Stegostoma tigrinum: one gene and its partners. The protein of the gene in region 3 interacts with the protein of the main gene of each other region in a pairwise test. Links are inferred from orthologs where the notes say so. Each region holds a gene or a part of one and is shown on either strand. Other genes may lie near its edges.

What was found. The genes of interacting proteins can lie anywhere in the genome.
Region 1: the proteins of UV excision repair protein RAD23 homolog A-like (region 3) and mindy3 interact in binary tests that used the Homo sapiens proteins (3 or more experiments, as listed by UniProt). The two-hybrid records come from large-scale screens. The link is inferred for Stegostoma tigrinum from reciprocal best matches to the Homo sapiens genes RAD23A and MINDY3.
Region 2: the proteins of UV excision repair protein RAD23 homolog A-like (region 3) and ngly1 interact in binary tests that used the Homo sapiens proteins (3 or more experiments, as listed by UniProt). The two-hybrid records come from large-scale screens. The link is inferred for Stegostoma tigrinum from reciprocal best matches to the Homo sapiens genes RAD23A and NGLY1.

Annotation. Positions count from the first base shown.
Region 1 is NC_081355.1:111,965,309-111,972,864, forward strand, and holds the start of mindy3 (ubiquitin carboxyl-terminal hydrolase MINDY-3), read left to right. Parts: upstream 1-4,538; 5' UTR 4,539-4,705; coding exon 4,706-4,793; intron 4,794-7,556. UniProt on the Homo sapiens protein: Hydrolase that can remove 'Lys-48'-linked conjugated ubiquitin from proteins.
Region 2 is NC_081355.1:63,429,880-63,437,595, forward strand, and holds the start of ngly1 (peptide-N(4)-(N-acetyl-beta-glucosaminyl)asparagine amidase), read left to right. Parts: upstream 1-4,698; 5' UTR 4,699-4,934; coding exon 4,935-5,038; intron 5,039-7,716. Other genes in the region: oxsm (3-oxoacyl-[acyl-carrier-protein] synthase, mitochondrial), read right to left, coding at 1-263. UniProt on the Homo sapiens protein: Specifically deglycosylates the denatured form of N-linked glycoproteins in the cytoplasm and assists their proteasome-mediated degradation. Cleaves the beta-aspartyl-glucosamine (GlcNAc) of the glycan and the amide side chain of Asn, converting Asn to Asp.
Region 3 is NC_081388.1:16,541,164-16,549,018, reverse strand, and holds the start of UV excision repair protein RAD23 homolog A-like, read left to right. Parts: upstream 1-4,844; 5' UTR 4,845-5,049; coding exon 5,050-5,115; intron 5,116-7,855. Other genes in the region: calreticulin-like, read left to right, coding at 903-1,091. UniProt on the Homo sapiens protein: Multiubiquitin chain receptor involved in modulation of proteasomal degradation. Binds to 'Lys-48'-linked polyubiquitin chains in a length-dependent manner and with a lower affinity to 'Lys-63'-linked polyubiquitin chains.

The DNA of each region.
Region 1 (7,556 bases), on a different chromosome or scaffold from region 3:
GCAATTAATGCATGGGAAGGAGTAGGTAACTGTCAATATTGTAATGTAATTTAATATAATATATTGTAAGATTCCAAAGACAGATGATAAAGATATCTTGTAAATATCATGAGATTGTGAGAGAACCTAGGGATCTCCATAGGGGTGTCCATCATTGATTGTGTGTTTATAGGATTAGATATATAGATTAGGGGGATGTAGCTAACAATGACATCAATGTTGCACGTCACCATTGTAACATGGTACATATAAAATGCTGCACTTGGCTGAGAGAGGGACAGTGCTCTAGAGAAGGGCCTCTTCCATGCTGCATTGGTGAGGTTCTCTGAATAGAGGTTGATTTCTGCTGCTGAACACAGGACTCAATATTCTTCTCTGACATCATTCCTAACACTTGAATTGACAGTAAAGTCATTTTTAGATCTTCCTTTGTCTCTCAACAGTCCCCGAAGGTTCCTTGAACATCTGGACTTCTTTTTCTAAGAAACTGTGTCCCCTCTTTGAATAATATGGTGATGACATAAAACCATACTGTCCAGTAAATTCTTCAAGTATTCTGGATTTGTTCATTACTTCTTAAATGATTGTTATAGCTGCCAAACATTTCACCTTTAAGTTAAAACAGAGCTTAGAAATAATAGTCTGCTATTAAGAGAGACTCTTCTTGAGTGTGCATGTCAATGTCTGAGTGGTGTTTCAGTAGCTATAATTTTCATTTATTACTGTGTTTTCTTTACTTCTGGTACACAATGTATGTGTATACTCTTTCAATGTTTTTGCAGATAACTATCCAATACACAGCTGATCTGACTCAAAACTCATACTTCAGCACTTCCATGAGATAACAAGGTGTAGAGCTGGATGAACACAGCAGACCAGGTAGCATCAGAGAAGCAGGAAAGCTGATGTTCTGGGCCTAGACCCTTCTTCAGAAATCATTTCTGAAGAACGGTCTAGGCCCGAAATGTCAGCCTTCCTGCTTCTCTGATGCTGTTTGGCCTGCTGTGTTCATCCAGTTCTACACCTTGTTATCTCAGATTCTCCAGCATCTGCAGTTCCTACTATCTCTTCAGCACTTCCATTTGGCTTTCATGTATATTCTCAAGAAATTCATTCTGTGTCATTTTGAATATAACGGTTCTGGGTCTGACCAGTAGAACACCATCTTCTCATGAGATGTCACCTCTTCTTGAACAAAACTGCAAAGGCAGTATCACTCAAGGACAAAGTACCTGGAGTTCTTGTTTTTGTTAGTCTCCTCTCTAATCAATATCTAGGTTTGTGGTTCTTACATTTACTAGGTGATAGAGCTTCGCGCCTAGATTTTTTTCTTGTGTCTGTTATATGGTGACAAATAAAACAGAACATGTGCTGACAGTTATTCTCTTCCTGGCTTGTATTTCAGAGGGAAAACATAATTTCTCACCCACATAAGTAACCTCTATAACCTTGCATGCGTGGTAGACTAGTATTTCTTGGTGATTTATTGTAATGGATGGTAACCCTCTCCTCCAGCGAGTTATTCATCAATAAACATCACAAATAGATTACCTGTTCTTTGCATTCCAGAGATAGCTACGCTTCAGAAATACTTAATTGGCTTTTATGTGCTTTCAGAAATCCAGTGATCATAAAATAACTGCAAAATAAAGATCGGTCTTCCTTTCATTGTCACATTGCTAGTATAGGACCTTGCTGCTTGAGAGTTAGCTGCTGCATTTCCACATTGTATCAGTGACTACCCTTCAGAAATACCTAATTAGCTGTAAAGTGTTTTCTAATGTGAAAGGGGGCACATAAATGCAAGTCTTTGATGATTCAATTTCTTCAAAATAACATCTTTTATATCCAACTGAGTGAGATAAAAAGGCCTCTGCTTAATGTTTTGTTTGAGAGACAACACCACCAATGTTGCAGCACACCCACAGTACTGAAGTGACAAGTCAGTTTGTGTCATGAGATAATGGGAACTGCAGATGCTGGAGAATCCAAGATAACAAAGTGAGGAGCTGGATGAACACAGCAGGCCAAGCAGCATCTTAGGAGCACAAAAGCTGACGTTTCGGGCCTAGACCTTTCATCATAAAAATAGGCCCGAAACGTCAACTTTTGCGCTCCTAAGAAGTTGCTTGGCCTGCTGCGTTTATCCAGCCCCACACTTTGTTATCTCAGATTGTGTCATGAAGTGTTAACTGGTAGCTAAACTGAAAAACTCTAAATCTGAGATGATCTACAACTGAATCAAAGGAAATTGTGAGAATCTATTATAGTGGATGCAGTAACAGGGCATTAAGAATAAAATGGTAGGACTGGGCACTGTAAAAATGGATTTTTGAAAAGGAAATAATGTTTGACAAACCTGTTAATGTTTTTGAGGATATAGCCAGCAAAATAGATAAATAGGAAATGGTGGATGTGGTATAATTAAATTTTAATAAGGTTCCACACAGATGGTAAGAAGCAGAGCTCATGGGATTGGGGGTGATTACAGTGGCATGGAATAAGAATTAGTTCATGGCAGAGAGCACAGTGGCGTAAATGGATAAGTTTCAGGCTGTCAGGCTGTGACTAGTTGGATGCTGCAAGGATCAGTGTTTCAGTCATAGCCATGTACAATCGAACTCAATGATTTGGAAGCAGGTAGCAAATTTAATAATTCCAAGATTGCAAATGAGAACAAAATTGTCAAGGTGGATGCAAGGAGGCTTCAAGAGATTTTGACAGGCTAAGTGAATAAACAAATAAAAAGGTAGTCAGAACACGCTGTGCAGAAAAATGAAGTTACCACTTTTAAAAACCAAAGTATGGTGTACCTCTTAATTGGTGATAGGCTGGAAAGTGTTGGACTTCAAAGGGACTTAGGTGTTATTATTTAAGTATCAGTGAAAGTTAATATGCAAGAACAACAAGCAATTAAAAAAGCAAATTGTACACTGATCTTCATTAAAAAATATATTTAGTAGTCTTTTATAGAGCCTGGTGAGGCTACACCAAGAGCATTGTGTGTAGCATTAGTCTCCAATTACCTGTAGAAAGACGCATTTACCGTAGAGGAATTGCACTAAAGGTTCATCAAACTAATTCCTAGGCTGGAGGGACTGCTCTATGAAGAAAGATGGAATGGACTGGGCCTCTATTATCAGGACATTAAAAGAATGAGAAGTAATCTCATTGAAATGTGCAAAAATCTTACAAAGCTGACAAAGTAAATACTAGAAGGTTGTTGTTCCTGGCTGGGGTGCCTAGAATTAGTGGATACAAACTTTGAATAAGATAAGGATATTTAGGGCTGAGAAAGATGAGAAATGTATTTGCTTGGAGGGTACAGAATCTTTGAAATTTTCTGCTTCAGATGGCTATCAATTGTTCAGTATATTCAAGATTAAGTTTGTTACATATTAAAGACATTGAGGGATATGAGGATAGGTCAAACAAATGGTGGTTGAAGTAGATCAGCCATCATCTAGTTGAATGTTGGAGTCACCTTGAGGGGCTGAATGGCCCACTCTTGCTCCCAATTAATATATATGGCAGACAGCTACAGTTGATAATGGGCTGGCCATTTAATTGATCCGAATAGGTGACGTAATCGAAAAATACAAGACTCTAAAGCAGGCAATGACATGGTGGAGACAGATTGTGTGAAATTGTCGCAATTGGTTGGCAGAGGTAAAATCTCATGGAAAAAAGGCGAAGAATTGGGCTCCATGGTCTCACTCCAAACACCCATCTGCTGAATTCCACAGGCTTGGCAACAAATGCAATTGCTTTGACATCTGAAGGCATAGCACCAGCCGACTGCTTCTCCTATTGACATCTCTGCAGCTATATGGGTTATGCGTTGCAAAATACCAAATGATATAAGGCAGTGGCAAGAGTAAACAAGTCAGCAGTCTCCCAAACATTGTTTGAGCAATGTATGGCAAATGGGTCCTGGGAAACCAATGTATAGGATGTGGGACAAAATGCAAAATACAGGATGGTTGGTCACCCTGTAACAGAACTCTTGGATTTTGTCAACAGCCCAAAGGATTCATTTCCAGTCACTGTTCAGATGCATTATGACACAGGTCTGAAACAGATGGGATGTGAACCCTGGCCTCCTGGTTCTGAGGTAACAGTATTAACAGAACACGACAAGAGTTCTAAGGAATCAGCTCCATTGTAAATATGAATATCAACCAACATTTAAAGGGGAGGGGGCAGTGTGTATTCCATTCCGTACTGTCTGACTCTATCTTGTTAATGCAATTTCAAGAATAGCCATCAGAGCAAATGAAAAGACCCTATCTCTTTCACAGCCAAGAACGTCTACAAACATTTTTGATCTTTGCCAAGCTTTCAATACGGCTGAAAATTTATGACTACCAGATCCAAAAAACAAGCACCAAATCTGTCTTTGGAGATGGGACATTAGCGGACACATCTCCCTGCACTTTACGACAGTGGAGGTGTAGGTAGGAGCTGTTTAATCCTACGCCAGCTGGGGCGCTCGCACCCTGGCCATGATTGGCCGTCTCAGGCGCATGCGGCATTTCTGTCAGTTCCGGTTCTATTGGGAAGAGGTTCCTGGATGTTACCGAGCTGCAAGATGTCGGTCGGAGCCTGAGGGAGAAACCGGCCGGGAGCGGGTTACCGAGAGGACGGGGACGGCACGGGGGAGGAAGAAGAGGCGGAGGCGGTGGCTCCGCACAGCGGCCGGGACATGTATAACATCGAGCTGGCGGAGCTGGTGTGGGGGAAACGCCCGAACAGCGCCCTGTCTGATTCCGTCTTCCGCAGATGGACCCAAGGTAGGGGCCAGCCCCACCCTGCACCTCTTCTCCCCCCACCTCCACCCCCACCCTGCACCTCTTCTCCCCCCACCACCCCGCACCTCTTCTCCCCCACCCCGCACCTCTTTTTCCCCCCCCACCCCGCACCTCTTTTTCCCCCCCCACCCCGCACCTCTTTTTTCCCCCCCACCCCGCACCTCTTTTTCCCCCCCCACCCCGCACCTCTTTTTCCCCCCCCACCCCGCACCTCTTTCCCCCCCCCCCACCCCGCACCTCTTTCTCCCCCCCCCCACCCCGCACCTCTTTCTCCCCCCCCCACCTCTTTCTCCCACTCCCCACCCCGCACCTCTTTCTCCCACTCCCCACCCCGCACCTCTTTCTCCCCCCCCCCACCTCTTTCTCCCACTCCCCACCCCGCACCTCTTTCTCCCACTCCCCACCCCGCACCTCTTTCTCCCATTCCCCACCCCGCACCTCTTTCTCCCACTCCCCACCCCGCACCTCTTTCTCCCACTCCCCACCCCGCACCTCTTTCTCCCACTCCCCACCCCGCACCTCTTTCTCCCACTCCCCACCCCGCACCTCTTTCTCCCACTCCCCACCCCGCACCTCTTTCTCCCACTCCCCACCCCGCACCTCTTTCTCCCACTCCCCACCCCGCACCTCTTTCTCCCACTCCCCACCCCGCACCTCTTTCTCCCACTCCCCACCCCGCACCTCTTTCTCCCACTCCCCACCCCGCACCTCTTTCTCCCACTCCCCACCCCGCAGCTCTTTCTCCCACTCCCCACCCCGCAGCTCTTTCTCCCACTCCCCACCCCGCACCTCTCGGCCCCCCTCCCACTCCCCACCCCGCACCTCTCGGCCCCCCTCCCACTCCCCACCCCGCACCTCTCGGCCCCCCTCCCACTCCCCACCCCGCACCTCTCGGCCCCCCTCCCACTCCCCACCCCGCACCTCTCGGCCCCCCTCCCACTCCCCACCCCGCACCTCTCGGCCCCCCTCCCACTCCCCACCCCGCACCTCTCGGCCCCCCTCCCACTCCCCACCCCGCACCTCTCGGCCCCCCTCCCACTCCCCACCCCGCACCTCTCGGCCCCCCTCCCACTCCCCACCCCGCACCTCTCGGCCCCCCTCCCACTCCCCACCCCGCACCTCTCGGCCCCCCTCCCACTCCCCACCCCGCACCTCTCGGCCCCCCTCCCACTCCCCACCCCGCACCTCTCGGCCCCCCTCCCACTCCCCACCCCGCACCTCTCGGCCCCCCTCCCACTCCCCACCCCGCACCTCTCGGCCCCCCTCCCACTCCCCACCCCGCACCTCTCGGCCCCCCTCCCACTCCCCACCCCGCACCTCTCGGCCCCCCTCCCACTCCCCACCCCGCACCTCTCGGCCCCCCTCCCACTCCCCACCCCGCACCTCTCGGCCCCCCTCCCACTCCCCACCCCGCACCTCTCGGCCCCCCTCCCACTCCCCACCCCGCACCTCTCGGCCCCCCTCCCACTCCCCACCCCGCACCTCTCGGCCCCCCTCCCACTCCCCACCCCGCACCTCTCGGCCCCCCTCCCACTCCCCACCCCGCACCTCTCGGCCCCCCTCCCACTCCCCACCCCGCACCTCTCGGCCCCCCTCCCACTCCCCACCCCGCACCTCTCGGCCCCCCTCCCACTCCCCACCCCGCACCTCTCGGCCCCCCTCCCACTCCCCACCCCGCACCTCTCGGCCCCCCTCCCACTCCCCACCCCGCACCTCTCGGCCCCCCTCCCACTCCCCACCCCGCACCTCTCGGCCCCCCTCCCACTCCCCACCCCGCACCTCTCGGCCCCCCTCCCACTCCCCACCCCGCACCTCTCGGCCCCCCTCCCACTCCCCACCCCGCACCTCTCGGCCCCCCTCCCACTCCCCACCCCGCACCTCTCGGCCCCCCTCCCACTCCCCACCCCGCACCTCTCGGCCCCCCTCCCACTCCCCACCCCGCACCTCTCGGCCCCCCTCCCACTCCCCACCCCGCACCTCTCGGCCCCCCTCCCACTCCCCACCCCCCACCTCTCGGGCCCCCCCCCCCCCCCCACTCCCCACCCCGCACCTCTCGGGGCCCCCCCACTCCCCACCCCGCACCTCTCGGGGCCCCCCACTCCCCACCCCGCACCTCTCGGGCCCCCCCCACTCCCCACCCCGCACCTCTCGGGGCCCCCCCCCCCCCCCACTCCCCACCCCGCACCTCTCGGGGCCCCCCCCCCCCCCCACTCCCCACCCCGCACCTCTCGGCCCCCCTCCCACTCCCCACCCCCCACCTCTCGGGCCCCCCCCCCCCCCCCACTCCCCACCCCGCACCTCTCGGGGCCCCCCCACTCCCCACCCCGCACCTCTCGGGGCCCCCCACTCCCCACCCCGCACCTCTCGGGCCCCCCCCACTCCCCACCCCGCACCTCTCGGGCCCCCCCCACTCCCCACCCCGCACCTCTCGGGGCCCCCCCCCCCCCCACTCCCCACCCCGCACCTCTCGGGGCCCCCCCCCCCCCCACTCCCCACCCCGCACCTCTCGGGGCCCCCCCCCCCCCCCCACTCCCCACCCCGCACCTCTCGGGGCCCCCCCCCCCTCCCACTCCCCACCCCGCACCTCTCGGCCCCCCACCCCGCACCTCTCGGGCCCCCCCCCCCCCCCCACTCCCCACCTCTCGGCCCCCCACCCCGCACCTCTCGGGGCCCCCCCCCCCCCCACTCCCCACCCCGCACCTCTCGGCCCCCCACCCCGCACCTCTCGGGCCCCCCCCCCCCCCC
Region 2 (7,716 bases), on a different chromosome or scaffold from region 3:
ATTGTGCAAGGCAAGTCTCTATACTGTGACTCATCTAAAGAAATAACACCACTCTCTCCTTTCAAGATTCGGTTCCATGTGAGTTGAGTACCGACTCCAAGTGGAGACACTAAGCCAATCCCAGTAATGACAACTCGCCTTCGACGTTTTGGATGGTTGGTACTTGCGAAACAACGTGCATTCAATTCTGATCTTGTATTCTTGAGATTCAACAGTTGATACCAGAAAACCTTTGTTAGCAGCTTCTTCCTTTGCAGCAACATATCTTTTAGCTTTTATCCACAACGTTGGCAAGAAAATGCACTTGGTTTTACTGTGAACAGTAAAGATGCACAGGAAAATCATTAAAAAATCTGCAAGTAGTAAGCAAATAGTTGTGAAAAACCAAATTTCAAATCTTTGCAATGTAAGTTTTCTTGAAGACAGAATGCATGCTTAGGATAATAATGTTTAATTACAAACTGTGATAATTTCTTTATTCATTAATGGGGTGAGGATGTTGCTTGCTAGACAGCATTTATTGTCCATCCCTAATTGCCCAGAGGGTAGCTCAAAGTCAAATACATTACTGTGGGTCTGGAGTCACATGTAGGGCAGACCAGGTAAGGATGGCAGTTTCCTTCCCTAAAGAACATTAGTGAAGCAGATACGTTTTCCTGACAATCGGCAATAGATTCATGGTCATCATTAGATTCTTAATTCCAGATATTTTTATTGAATTCAAATTCCACCATCTACCAGGGTGGGATTTGAACCCAGGTCCCCAGAACATTATCCAGGTCTCTTGATTAACAGTCCAGTGATAATACAACTAGGCCATTGCCTCCCCTAAAATTTATTCCATTTTCAACTGTGATTGAACAGTTCATAAGAGATCAAGTTCAACTAAATATAACATTGAAATAAAGACACTCTGGAAAGTTATATTGCTTCTGATTTTTGTGCACTTATTCTGTTGTGTTTATTTTTCATGCAACTCTTTTTTCCCCCCAAAAAATGCACACATCACCATTCCTGTCAAAAATTAGGGAGCACTCAAACTCTGTTTCTCTACTCCCTCAACACTGCCTCAAAACAAGTTTTTAATGGGGGTGGGACATGGGGAACAGACTGCTGATTAACTTACCTTTCAATTTAACTTTGATAATATGAGGAACACACCCTAATCTGTATTCAGTATCTTGTCCTAACAGGATCATATTGCATAACAGATCATGGCGTTGTGTTGTGAGATAACAAGGTATAGAGCTGGAAGAACACAGCAGGGCAGGCAGCATCAGAGGAGTAGAAAAGCTGACGTTTTGGCTCTGGACCCTTCTTCACAATCTACAGATTTCTGATCCAGACACACAAACCAATTGTCATGTATAAATTTCACCATAACAACTGGGGGAACTTGAATGAAACTAATAAACATCTAGAATTGAAAGGTGATCTCAGCGAAGATGATGATGAAACTACCTATTGGCATGAAAACCTATCTGGTTCTCTAATGCCATAAGGGTAAGGAAATCTTCCATCTTCACCTGCTTTGGCTTACATGTGACTCCAGAACTACAGCAATGTGGGTGACTCTTAATTGCCTTGTGAAATAATCAAGTAAGCCACTCATTTCAAGGGCAATGAGGGATAGACAATAAATACTGGCCTTGCAAGTGACACCCACATTCCATGAAAGAATAAGGAAAAAAAAATACTATAAGACCATCTTGGAAGGCATGACAACCCTCAGCCTTTCTTTGTCCAACAAAAATCATCTCTTTATTCCACTGCTCATCTGCACTCTTTTCAATCAAATGCAAGCAGCATATGGGTTTCAAACATCACTGTGCCAATTACTCCTCACCTCATTTCAAATCCTTATTATGGTGGTTTTTCTTTCATCTCCTCTCTGCCTTTTATGTTTAGTTTTTTTCATGAAATCGACATCCTAATTCTTCCATCTTCAACTGCCCCCTCCTGTTTGCAAATGTCATTCAATGTTCAGATACTATCAACACTTTCCCATTTTTTAAATGTTTAACGTTGTTAAACATGCCATTAGCTCAAATGTGAATTCCTGCAGTGTGGCTAAAGTTAACAACAGCATAATGACCAATATCATAAATGGCCTTAAATTGATGTGACTGTGGAGGAAATGGGTCATTCCTGGATTTTTCACATTGTTCAGTACTATTGACTAAGGCATTCTCGTCTATCACCGATCCTCGGTTCTAGAAGGCTGTCAGCATTGGGCAATTCAAAGTTTAAATGAATCATGTAAATGCACAAATAAGTGACTGTATTTCAAAATCATATTTTAGATAAGTACAGATGTAATCATTGGGAAATTTGACTGGGGCATAGACATAACCCAGTTCTCATTTTAAAGTCAAACACTATGTCTTTAGATTAGATTAGATTCCCTACGGTGTGGAAACGAGTTTATATTATTCATGATTGTTACGACAAATCTCAAAAGCAGAGTCTTTGCTGCAGTGATCGTACCACGATCCCACTACTGGTTGAGAGGTATAATTTAAATATGATGCATTTACAAAGATAACTCTCACTAATAAAAAAATATAGTAATCCATAATGACGATAGTTTTATCAAGATAGGAAATATACATAAATAAAACACTTTTTAATACATTATAGGTTTAGATATTACACAGAATAGCTATTTAGAGTTGACCCTAATTCAGTTAAATAAAATGTAACGAATATTTGAATTTATTCATTAAAACTTGTCCTTGCAGCAAGTTGTCTATTTTGTAGCTCCAGGCTTACATTGAGAAAGTGATCTGTTATTTCACCTTTCAAATGAGCTTCTTGTATGCAAAATTACAATGAAGGAATTGTTACCTACGCTATCAATTTGTAACCAAAATGTAAAACATTCTTAAACATGCTCAAATCAATTTGACTACACAATAAGGTGGCCATTGCTGAAGGCCAAGAATATTGGACACCAATCCCCAAGGGCGTACTGGCCTAGGAGTGGGGAGAAGACATTACGCATGAGATATCACCATCATGAGCCTCTCAAATAGGGTGACCAGATGTTGGTGTGTGTCCTGACAGTTTCCTTAAATTGTTCAGATGTCCCAGCCTTAAACTTTTCCATGTACTGGAAGCATACGTTTGAATACATGGCTAAAAGTACACCCAGGGGGGTGCTTTTCCCTGCAGTCACCACAGTTTATGAGACTCTTTGCCCCAGATAGTTCAGTGTGATACTTCACATGTCCCCCCAACCCACATGTTTGTTCTGTGTGCCCTGTCAGATCAGTGTCACACTTTGTGCCCCCACTCCACCGAAGTTCGAGTGACAGTGAGCGTACACACTCAAGACAGAGGCTGCTCATTGCGGACACATGCACACACACACGCCCCTCCTCATTCAACAAACATCTATTTACACAACAAGCCAGGACAGGATGAAAGACAAGCCACTTCCAAACCTCATTTTCACATGAATTCCACCAAGGTCAGTTTGGAATGTACACCCCCCCAAGGCTAACTCAACATTAGAAAGGGCATAGGTTGAAGGTGAGTGAGGAAAAGATTTAAAAGGGATTAAGGGGCAAGTTTTTCATGCTGAGGATGACGTGTGCATGGAATGAGCTGTCAGAAGAAATTTTGGAGGCAGCTACAATTACACCATTTAAAAGGCATTTGGATGGGTACATGAGGAGGAAGGTTTAGAGAGATATGGGCCAAATGCAGGCAAATGGGTCAAGATTAATTTAGGATATCTGGTCAGAATGGATGAATTGGATCCAGAACAAGTCCTAAAGTCCTCTGTCTGCTTCCGTTCTTCATTGATCAAGATTTGGAGCCTTGCCTATCTCTCTCTAGCTCTATTTCTGGAGTTAAATGAAAAGGTAGAGCAAAAATCTTATTAAACTTCTAGATAGCTTTTAAATGATTATTTTATGAATTACTCATTTTTAATCAATTTATTATTTTGCTTAGCAAGTTATTTTATATACCCAAAACAGATCTCAGAAGGGTCTCGACCCGAAACGTCAGCTTTCCGGCTCCTCTGACGCTGCTTGGCCTGCTGTGTTCATCCAGGTCTACTGATTCTCCAGCATCTGCAGTTCCTACTATCTCAGGTAGGTGTTGCCGGGATCCTTATTGAAGGGGAACGAGAAGATCACAAGAAGTCTTAAGTATTTTTTGGAAGACCAGCAAAAGGTTAGTTCCAAGTATTGGAAAGGCTCAGCATGTCAGCAGTTTTCCGTGTGGAGAGAAAAAAGCGTTCTGTGACTTGTCGTCAAAACTAGTTAGGATCGTGATTTTTTTTAACAATATAAGAAACTTGGAAACAGAAGTACTTGGGCCCTCAGATAACAAAGTGTGGAGCTGGATGAACACAGCAGGCCAAGCAGCATCTCAGGAGCACAAGAGCAGACGTTTCGGGCCTAGACCCTTCAATTCCCCGAAAGATGGATCAGCACTACTACTTTCAGTTTCTAAAATAAACAAGACTGAGGAGGAGCCGTCCTTTGGACGAAACATAAGTAAACACAAAATAAAATGTAAGAAAACACGGGAAATATTTTTAGAGAAGGACTCGTGAACAAAGAGACAGAAGCAACTTTTCAGATTCGTCTACGCTCACTCACCAACTCCCTGAGGCGCAGGCGCAACTCAGCCATGGCCGTGCCACGACGTCACGACGTGGGCGGAGCAGGAGGTTGTCCGCCCAAAACCAAAGAGCATCAACCCGAAAGGGGCAAGAGCGGCGCTAATGCAGCGTCATCACTTCCTGAACGGAGGTTATTTCAGTTTCTTTCCTCAGACAGCCGAGCGGTTGTCGGTATTCCGGTTTTCTTTTTAAATTGGAGATTGTCTGCCGTCTGAATACACAGGAGCAGCTGTTCGTCGAGGAAGGGGAGTTAAAGCGCCCTCTCCTGTGGGCTGCAGTCCATAGCCTGTCCACCATGGTGTCGGTGTCGGTGGCTGTGAGCGAGCTGAGCCAGAATCCCGAGCACATCTTCCTGGACGCTTCAGAGCTGCTGCTGAAATATGCCGACAACATCCTGAGGTAAGGGCTAGGTCCCGGTTTGCGGGGGAGGGTGTTGAAAATGGTAGCGCTCAGCCGCCGGCTCCGTTCAGGTCGCCCTCAGAGAGTGAAGTTGGATTCAAGGTTAACATACGTTATTTTCTCCCTATCCCAATGTGTTGTTTCGATGGGTCGATTCACTCCCCGAGTTACCACCTTTCTCATAGGTTGAAGGAAAGGTTTCGATTGTTGTGTTCTGGGCGAGAGGGGTGTACGTGGGAAGTTTGGCTGGGCTTCGACACACTGTTATAGTATCAGAGGCTGATTCTTTTGCAGCAGTAATCAGAACTCAGAAAGCACTCTGAGGCAATAAAATGTGAGGCTGGATGAACACAGCAGGCCCAGCAGCATCTCAGGAGCACAAAAGCTGACGTTTCGGGCCTGGACCCTTCATCAGAGAGTCCAGGCCCGAAATGTCAGCTTTTGTGCTCCTGAGATGCTGCTGGGCCTGCTGTGTTCATCCAGCCTCACATTTTATTGCCTTGGATTCTCCAGCATCTGCAGTTCCCATTATCTCAGAAAGCACTCTGTCAGGCCGTGCCCACTGGGAGAACACCCAGAGGGTTTTAAGAAATCTCTCATCTGTCAGGAATCGGTCTAAACCTCCTACTGGCCACAGCCAGAATTGCTTGGAGACCCCGATATCTTGCCTCGCATTCTTGCGTGGTGTCCAAAACCCCAATGTGGAAATTCTTCTTTAGTCTTTCCAGGATTGTGACGTTCTTCCTAAGGTGTTTGGTTTTCCCCGGAATAATTTGCAGTGCTGCAGATGCGGTCTAATTGTAGACTTGTAAAGGTTGAATGTAACGTCCTTATTTTGTTGTCACTATTCATTAAGCCAAGTGTTCATGCTTTCTTATTTACATCATTAACCTTCCCTGCCACTGTGTGTGAACGTGCAGATCCCACTTCTCTGCACCCTTTAGAATGGTATAATTTACATCATACTGCCTCTCCAGATCATTTATGCTAAACTGCATTCTACTGATAGTAAGTTGTGTGTGCTCATTTCATCAATGTCTTGCTAAAGTGTGGCTCTTCTGTTTACTGCACATTGTGTTGCCATGTATATATCAATTGCAAACATCAAAATTGTATGTTATAGGTAGGTCTAGGCTATTAATGCAAACTGCAAAAATACAGTAATCCTAATACTGACCCTTAAGTGGATGAGTGGGTGGGAACCCTGTTGAATGCTATCTTCAGTCAAAAGTAACTTGGCCGTTGCCTGCTATCTCCCAGCCAATTTCATTACCATATTACCATTGTCCCCTTTTCATATCATGTAGTTATGTTTAAGTCTATTAGGTTATTCTTTATCAAATATCTTTTGAAAGTTCATATTACACATCAATTGCACCAGCTTCTTCAATCTTCTTTTAGATCATCAAGTAACTCAATCTAGATTAGTTAGCTCTGATTTTGTCTTGAAAAAGTGGGAATTTGTCTCAATTAGCTTTTGTACCACAGATGCAGTCCTTCCCCAAATGTTTTTGAACCAAGAGGCGACAATGCCATAACATGTAAACCTATTGCCAGTACTTCAATGTCCAAAGAAGAATTGAAGATTGTGATCAGAGCATCTGCTGTCTACCTAACTTGGCATCACATTTCTATTTTTCCTTTTCTAATCCAGCATCTTGACTGCCTCCTCGCTGCAACTTTAATGTTATCCCTTTTCAGAATGTCTAATTTCTGTTTCATCCTTAACCAATCTCAATCTTTATATTGCTTCATATTGTGAAAATATTTATTTTGCACTTTTATCATTTGGGAATTTGAATTTCAAAAATAGAGGCAAATGGAATTGCGTTTCAGTTTTGTTTTGGAGAGGTCAGAGTTAGTGGCAGAAATGACCTAAATAGAATTTCTAAGGAAGCATGTGGCTTAGTAAGTGCCAAGCCAGATACCGGTGGTGTTACTTAATGAGGTGTTTACGTTGCTAAGTTTATGACATGCAGAAAAATAAATGACCAGGAATCACTGGTGCTTAGGTTTGAGTTCAGTTCAGGAGTATCAGATTTCAGTTTCATCTCAGCAGAATGATTTTTATTTTATGAAGTCTCCAAGCTGCCAGAGTTTGAGTAACAGTTTCAAGCTGTTGAATCTGGAGGGAAGCCCTGAGGCCATCGGAACTGGAGACAGTAATTAAGAAATTAGTTAAGATGGGAGTAATACTAAACTATGAGCATCTGTAAATAATAGCTGGGAAAGTTTGAAACTTTGTTTTGCTGTTGATATTAAAATTTTTCTAAATTGTTGGATAGCTTTTTTAGTTTAATAAACGTGAGTTCTTGTAGTAAAAGAACCATAACAGCTTTACGTGAATATGTTCAATGCCTGACTGCAGTGGTAAGCTACTGTAAAAATAAACTTTTTGATCTTTCAAGCCAAATTTCGTATTTAGATCTGACATATCCAGTATAGCTATCAGCCGGGATCGTGGCAATATGTTGATCTAGTATTTTTGGATTTAATTTGTTAATTGCTAACATTTTCATATATTTTGCCCTTTTTTCCCCCCCTCTTATACTGGCAATATCCATAAATTTCCATAGAATCCTTACATGGGGAAACAGGCAATTTGGCTCAACGGGGTCACACAGTCTCTGAAGAACATCTCAGCTAGACCCATCCCATCCCTATAATCCTGCACTTTC
Region 3 (7,855 bases):
CCCCCTTCCTCTCCCCCCCCCTTCCTCTCCCCCCCCCTTCCTCTCCCCCCCCCTTCCTCTCCCCCCCCCTTCCTCTCCCCCCCCCTTCCTCTCCCCCCCCCTTCCTCTCCCCCCCCCTTCCTCTCCCCCCCCCTTCCTCTCCCCCCCCCTTCCTCTCCCCCCCCCTTCCTCTCCCCCCCCCTTCCTCTCCCCCCCCCTTCCTCTCCCCCCCCCTTCCTCTCCCCCCCCCTTCCTCTCCCCCCCCCTTCCTCTCCCCCCCCCTTCCTCTCCCCCCCCCTTCCTCTCCCCCCCCCCTCCTCTCCCCCCCCCCCTTCCTCTCCCCCCCCCCTTCCTCTCCCCCCCCCCTTCCTCTCCCCCCCCCCTTCCTCTCCCCCCCCCCTTCCTCTCCCCCCCCCCTTCCTCTCCCCCCCCCCTTCCTCTCCCCCCCCCCTTCCTCTCCCCCCCCCCTTCCTCTCCCCCCCCCCTTCCTCTCCCCCCCCCCTTCCTCTCCCCCCCCCCTTCCTCTCCCCCCCCCCTTCCTCTCCCCCCCCCCTTCCTCTCCCCCCCCCCTTCCTCTCCCCCCCCCCTTCCCCTCTCCTCCCCCCCCCTTCCCCTCTCCTCCCCCCCCCCTTCCCCTCTCCTCCCCCCCCCCTTCCCCTCTCCTCCCCCCCCCCTTCCCCTCTCCTCCCCCCCCCCTTCCCCTCTCCTCCCCCCCCCCTTCCCCTCTCCTCCCCCCCCCCTTCCCCTCTCCTCCCCCCCCCCTTCCCCTCTCCTCCCCCCCCCCTTCCCCTCTCCTCCCCCCCCCCTTCCCCTCTCCTCCCCCCCCCCTTCCCCTCTCGTATTTGAATGTTCTATTTTCCACCCAACTCTCCATACCCATTCCCAACTCAATGACTCTGTCTGTCTTTAAATTGTCTTTTCAGGAGCCAGAAAAGAAAATGAAAGAGCAACAGGATGAAGAGGAGAGAAAGAAGAGAGAGGAGGAAGAGAAGGATAAGGAGGATGATGCTGAGGGGGATGAGGAGGATGAGGATGAAGAGAAGGAAGAAAAAGAGGAAGATGAGGAGGAGGAGGAAGAAGAAACAGAAACCGTTCAAAAGGATGAGTTATAAAGATTGTAATAAATGCTGAGAATGAATGGCAGCAGGGCAATGTGCAGAAAAGTTACACATAGCAACTGGGACCCCTTATTGGAATGTTTTTTGTTTATGAACAAATTGGCGGGGGGGGGGGGAAATGTCAGGCTTTTAGGGTTGGGGCAGTAAGTGAACATGAGAATATATCCACTGAGGAAGGGACTGCTGAAATTTCTAAACCTTCCTTATTAAAAATTTGGTAACTAGAAGTCAGCTTCATAATGGTGGGTAGGGAAGGATCAAACCTGAGTGGAACTTGGGCTGTTGTGTCTTGCATCTTGAACATGCCACATTTAATAATCCTAGAAATCATCTGAGCACGTTTATGCTGTTTTTCAACTGAGGTGTTAGCTTTTTTAAATTGGTCAACCCTTCAGTTTAAAATTTGGTAGAAGCCCAAATCTATTTGCTTGCTGCCAGTAATTTCCAAATTTTGGGTTCCAGTGCTGTTAGGTTAGCTTGTTTTGTGTCTTTGTCTAGGTAAACATGATACAACTGAACAGTGTACTTGAGCATGTTTGAGATTCTACAGTTGATGCCAGTTAACTTCCAGGCTGTACTGCTTTATAAGATCTCTCTTTTTGGTTTTTGAGAACCACTCAGTTCCCAGGTGTAACTAAAATCTGATGGGAATTAACATTGGGGATGGTATGATTTAAATTGACCAATTTCACTTCCATTTGAGGTGGGGGGGGGGGTGCGGGGTGCCCCTGTTTAACGGGCTTCAACTGTAGGTGTAATTGTATAGCTGCCTTTTCCATTCAGAACAATTGGGTAGAGCAGGACTGCACTGGTTATATAAATGGATGTTTATCGGCTCTTTCCAAATCCAGGGTCAACTTTGCCTTTGTATTTTGCATTCTTTATATGGGGGTTTCATGAAAAGGAGGGGGAAAAATTTCTTTATTTCCAACAACATTCAAAAGGAGACTTAAATTCTGTACAGACCAAGTCTAAAGTTGTCATTTTAATCTGTTATTTAAATGTTGTAAATTGGTGATTTAATTGATGACTGTTTGGGGAAAACTTGTTCTGTGTGCAATACAGAAGTATGTTTGATCACATTTCTACAATAAATACCAATGGAAGTGAAATAATTGTTTGTTCTTTCCTTTTCAGTTTGGAATAGTTCTTAGTCCTTTGAATTTCATGGACTTTTGGTATTGGGGGTGGTAAAGTGTGGATTCATTGGTTAATAAAGCTGGAATTGGACAAGCCATTTGGGTTGCCTGGCTGTAGCCAGTGAGATTAATGCAAGAATCAGTGTTGGATTTTAGCTAATTGTAATATCAATTAATACAGAGGGTCAGAGGATAATCCTAACAAAGACTGTTATAATATGCAGAAAATTAAATTGAGGAGAAACAAACTGCAAAGGGCTAAAGTCATCAAATGGGCATGGCAGATGTTAATTATGATAAGTTATCCAGTTTGGATTTGTGCATAAAGAAATTTTTTTCAAGGGTCAAGATCCTGAAAGCTTGCCGTTCAGAGGGACCTGGGTACCATTTTATTCATCAGAAATAGCATGCATGTAAAACAAATTGGCGACCTTTTTATTACAAAGCCTGATGCTGAATGGTCTAGTCCTGCTATGATGCTTTCCAACTGCTATGTTCTTGACTACAGAATAAGGTAATTGAACTCCATGAAGAGCGCTTTTGTCAGATGGCAATTCTTTCCATGTTGGTGGTTTTCTCTCCAATTGATTCTATTAGATATCCCTGTGAGTAACCAATTTCCACACCTCCTGAACTGACCTCTTAACTCATTAAAACAGAGTTTTGCAGCATAGAATGAATTTGTCTATCACCTCTTAATAGATAATTAACCCCTGCAATCCCACCATTTCTATTTTGGATAAATATTGAAAATTTTACTTCCATAATAAGCCACTAGATTCTGCTTCCACTTTCTGGTTGAGCATTTTTCAAGTTGTAATTTTTTTTTAAATTAAAAGCAAGCTCCTAAATTTAGAAGTAAGGATTATGTCCCCTAGTTATGTACTAGACTTGCACTTTGTTTGCTTTTCAAACTATGGAAAATGCATGAACTTCACTTTTTTTTTGGGAGTGAAGAGTGTAATTACTGGAAGTAGGTTTTGTACAAGACTTCAGACTGCACAAATAGCAGTCATTTGCTCCAGAAAAACCATTTGAGCCAGGAGAGATTTTTTTTTAACAGCAATCTTTTTTTCAAAGAAAAACCCTACAGGCTGAGGTGCTGGAGCATGGTTGCAGTGTTGTCAATCCCAGTTCAAGCCCTCTATGTAAAGCAGATCTCCTATACATGCAGAAATCATTGCTTTTGATCAGCTATGTCACATTTCAGTACTTGTCTATCACTTGACTTGATTTAAAAGGTAATTCTTTATTTTGACAATATTTCCTGAAGACACCTGTCTTTCATTTTGAGTTCACAATATTACAGGAGTCTCAAAAGTGAGAGTTGGACTCCCAAGTAGGTTTGTAAGTTGGAATTTAGGTTAAGCGCTATGACAGACTGTCCCCTTACTCTGTCCTTCTCCCCTGCCACATTCTTGACAGACGGACTGAAACAGTTTTGAGGCTTCAAAATGGAGCCACGGTGGGGATGAATTTGGGCAACATTTTCTAACACTTATGCAGTTTGCATTCAGATAATGCTGTCCTGCTCAGTAATCCAAAGAAAATTTTGTCGCAAGTCCCTGACGAAGTTTTCTACGCTTAAAGTCAGAAGTCATACAACACCCAGTTACAATCCAACAGGTCTATTTGAAATCACCAGTATTTGGAGCACTGATCCTTCATCAGGTGATTGCATTTGGAAGGTTTGTTACTTCAGATAAACCTGGTCCCATATGACTTCTGACATGTTTCAGTGAGTGGTGCTCATCAGAGCTATTAACCTGATTTTTTTTTTAAATGTGATGCAGTGGAGTGCTTTGAGCTGCTTAGAATGTGTTGAGGTGGTCCTACAGTGCATTTTGTTCATAATTCCAACCTTAGAAAGCTGCCATGATGGAGACATGGATAGTAGGAACTGCTGATGCTGGAGAATCTGAGACAACATGGATGAAGCTGGATGAACACAGCAGGCCAAGCAGCATCAGAGGAGCAGGAAAGTTGACATTTTGGGTCAAGGCCACCTGAAATGTCAACTTTCCTGCCCCTGTGATGCTGCTTGGCCTGTTGTGTTCATCCAGCTTCATATGGTGTTATCCATGACCAGAGATATATCCCAGATATTTTCTAATCAATATTACATTTGGAAAATGTGGGACTTGCACCTGGCCTGCTAACCTAGCAGCAGGAACTCTGATGCAAGATATGGTCACTGATGCATTTTATTAAATTTTAAATTCTGCCAGCTGCCTTGATTGTTGTCTTGATTTTCTTCTTAAAAAATATTTTTGAACCAATTTATAATCCCTGCAGATACAGCAACAGGAGAGTGAACCTTTTCCCCACACCCCCCCCCCCCCCCCCAAAACCCTATACCTGCCTCTGCAGTGCCTGGACTTCTGGATGATTTGTTTGTGACATTAGTACGCTGCTACTGCCTATCCTCAATATAAATGCAAGTTTCTTATTTCCATTATCGTTTGCACATTGAAACTTAATTGCACAGTTGTCAGGCATTGAGACAAGTAACGAGTCCGAGTTGGCACATCTTCCCTCCGACTTTAGTGGAAGGCCACACACCACGTGAGATAGCCCGGTCGCCATGGCAATGACGTTACGCCAGCGTAGCGTTTGCGTAAAGATGGCGGTGGTGGCTTGAAGCAGTGGGGCCTTGGTGGAATCTTCGAGCAAACCGCAGGTGGCGGAGGAGCGGGATTACTTGATTTTTTTTTTGTTTTAATCGCCTTTTTTAAAAAAACCCACCCGGCGGCGGTTCCACTTCCCTTCCACCTCCCCGGCGAGGGGAGGTAAGGGGGAAGGAGACCGTCACCATGTTCATCACCGTGAAAACGCTGCAGCAGCAAACGTTCAGAATCGAGATCGACCCCGAGCAGACGGTGAGGGAGGGAAGGGGGTTCAACACTGTACTCATTTACCCCCCCACCTCACAACCACCCTAACATCTCTCACATGCCTCCAGTCAACGACCCTCACCTCCCCATCAACAGCCCTCTCAAACCCTCACAATCCCTCGCCCAACTCCATTTACTTCAATACAAGAGGCCTGACAGGTAAGGGAGATGAACCCAGGGCTTGGTTGGGACCGGCATGTCATAGCCGCTGCAGAAACATGGTTCAAAGGTAAACAGGACTAGCAGCTTCATGTTCCAGGCTGTAGATGTTATCAGAAGGAGAAGTGTGGTTCTTTTGGATAGGGAGTTAATTGCTGGGAGATCGTCCAATGAGGTTATAGTGGGGAAGAATTTAAAATGAGAAAGGGATGATTATCTTGTTGGGATTGTTAATAGCGCCCCCGCCCCATAGTCAGTGGGAAGTTGAGAAGCAAATATGCACAGAGATCTCAGATAATCTATAAGCAAATAGTGTTGTATTGGTTAGGGATTTTAACTATCCAAACACAGACTGGGACTGTCGTAGTATTAAGGGTTTGGATGGAACAAATTTGTTAAGTGTGTACAAAAAAACTTTCTTATTCACCATGGATGTATCTATTAGAGAAGGAGCAATACTTGACCTTCAGTTGGGAAATAAGGGAGAGCAGGTGATAGAGGTGTCAGTGGGAGAGCACTTTGGGGCAAGTGGTCTCAATTCTGCTGGTTTTAAAATAGTTATGGAAAAGGATGGAACTGATTTTACAATTTAAATTTGTAAATCGGATTGAGGCCAATTTGGAAGGTATTACACAGGAACTTCCAAAAGTTGATTGGGGAAAGCTATTCACAGGTAAAGTGAAAACCAAAGAACTATGGATGCTGTAAATCAGGAACGAAAACAACGTTGCTGGAAAAGCTCAGCAGATCTGGCAGCAGTTCTGAGGAGGGACCACTGTCCCCAGATGCTGCTAGATCTGCTGTGTTTTTCCGGGAACTTTGTTTTCCTTCCAGGTAAAGTGAATTTGTTTGGGAAGTGGGAGGCCTTTTAAGCATGAAATAAAAGTATTGACTATGAATGACTAGTATTTTACTTCAGTACTTAATGTGAAGAAGGAAATGGAACTTGGAAATAAATGGAGGTGGCTTGGAAAAGGTTGATATGACAGAAATGACTATTATGAGGGGGCATAGTTTTAAGGTGATTGGAGGAAGGTACAGGGGAGATGTCATATGTGGTGGGCATGTGGAATGCACTTCTGGCAGTGGTAGTGGAGTCAGATACTTCAGAGACTTTTAAGTGACTCTTGGATAGGAACATGGAGGATAGCAAAATGTAGGGTTTGCAGGGTAGGTTGATCTTAGTGGGATAATAGGTCAGCACAACATCGTGGGCCAAAGGGCCTGTACTGTTCTCTGTTTTAGGAGGAAGTGCTGGAGATCTTAAAATACATAAATGTAGATAAATCCCCACGACCTGGTCAGCTGTTTCCCAGAACATTGTGGGAAGCTGGAATAAAATTGGTGGTCACCTTTGCTGAGATATTTGTATCATCAGTAGTTATGGGTGATCACGGAGGTTGGCTAATGTGGTGCTGTTATTTAAGAAAGGCCGTAAGCAAAGCCAGGGAACTAGAGACCAGTGAGCTTTGCATCAGTGGTAGGTAAGGTGCTGGAGGGGATTCTGAGGGACAGGATTTACATATATTTGGAAAGGCAGTGTGTGATTAGGGATAGTCAGCATAGCTTTATGTGTCTTACTAATTAGATTGAGTATTTTGAATAGGCGACAGACAAGGTTGATGCGGGCAAAGCAGTAGATGTCTGTGTGGACTTCACCAAAGTGTGCGACAAGGTTCTGCATGGTGAAGTTGTTAGTAACGTTGGATCACTCGGGATCCAGGGGGAGCTAGCCAATGGGATACAAAATTGACTTTAAAGTAGGAGACAGGGTGGTGGTTGAATATTGCTTTTTGGACTGGAGGCGAGTGACCGGTGGTGTGCTGCAGGGATCAGTGCTGATTCCTTGCTTTTTGTCATTTAATTAAATGACTTGGATTTGAATATAGGAGGTATGGTTAGTAAGTTTGTTGATGACACCAAAATAGGTGATGTAGCGAACATGAAGAAGATTATCTCAGAGTACAACAGGTCCGTGATCGGATATGCCATTGGGTCAAGAAATGGCAGATTAAGTTTATTTAAGATAAATGTGACATGTTGCATTTTGGTAAGGCAAACCAGAGCAGGACTTACACAGTTATAGTAGGGCCCTGAGGAGTGTTGCCCAATAAAGAAACCTAGGGGTGCAGGTGCATAGTTCCTTGAAAGTGCAGGTAGACTGGGTGATGAAGAAGCATTTGTCACCCTTGCCTTCATTAGTCATAACATTGAATATAGAGTTGGGATGTCATGTTGCAGCTGTACAGGATGTTGGTGAGGCCACGTTTGGAATATTGCATGCAATTCTGGTTGTCCTTCTATAGGATGGATGTTATTAAACTTGAGAGCGTGCAGAAAAGATTTACGAGGATGTTGTCAGGACTGGAGAGTTTGAGCTATAAGGAGAGACTGAATACATTGGGGCTTCTTTTCTCCTGGAGTGTTGGAGACTGAGCTTACAGAGGTTTATAAGATCATGAGCGTCATGGATTAGGGAGTCCAAAGCTAGACGACACAATTTTAAGGTGAGAGGGAAATGCTTTAAAAAGGACCTGCGATGTAACTTTTTCACACACGGGTGGTA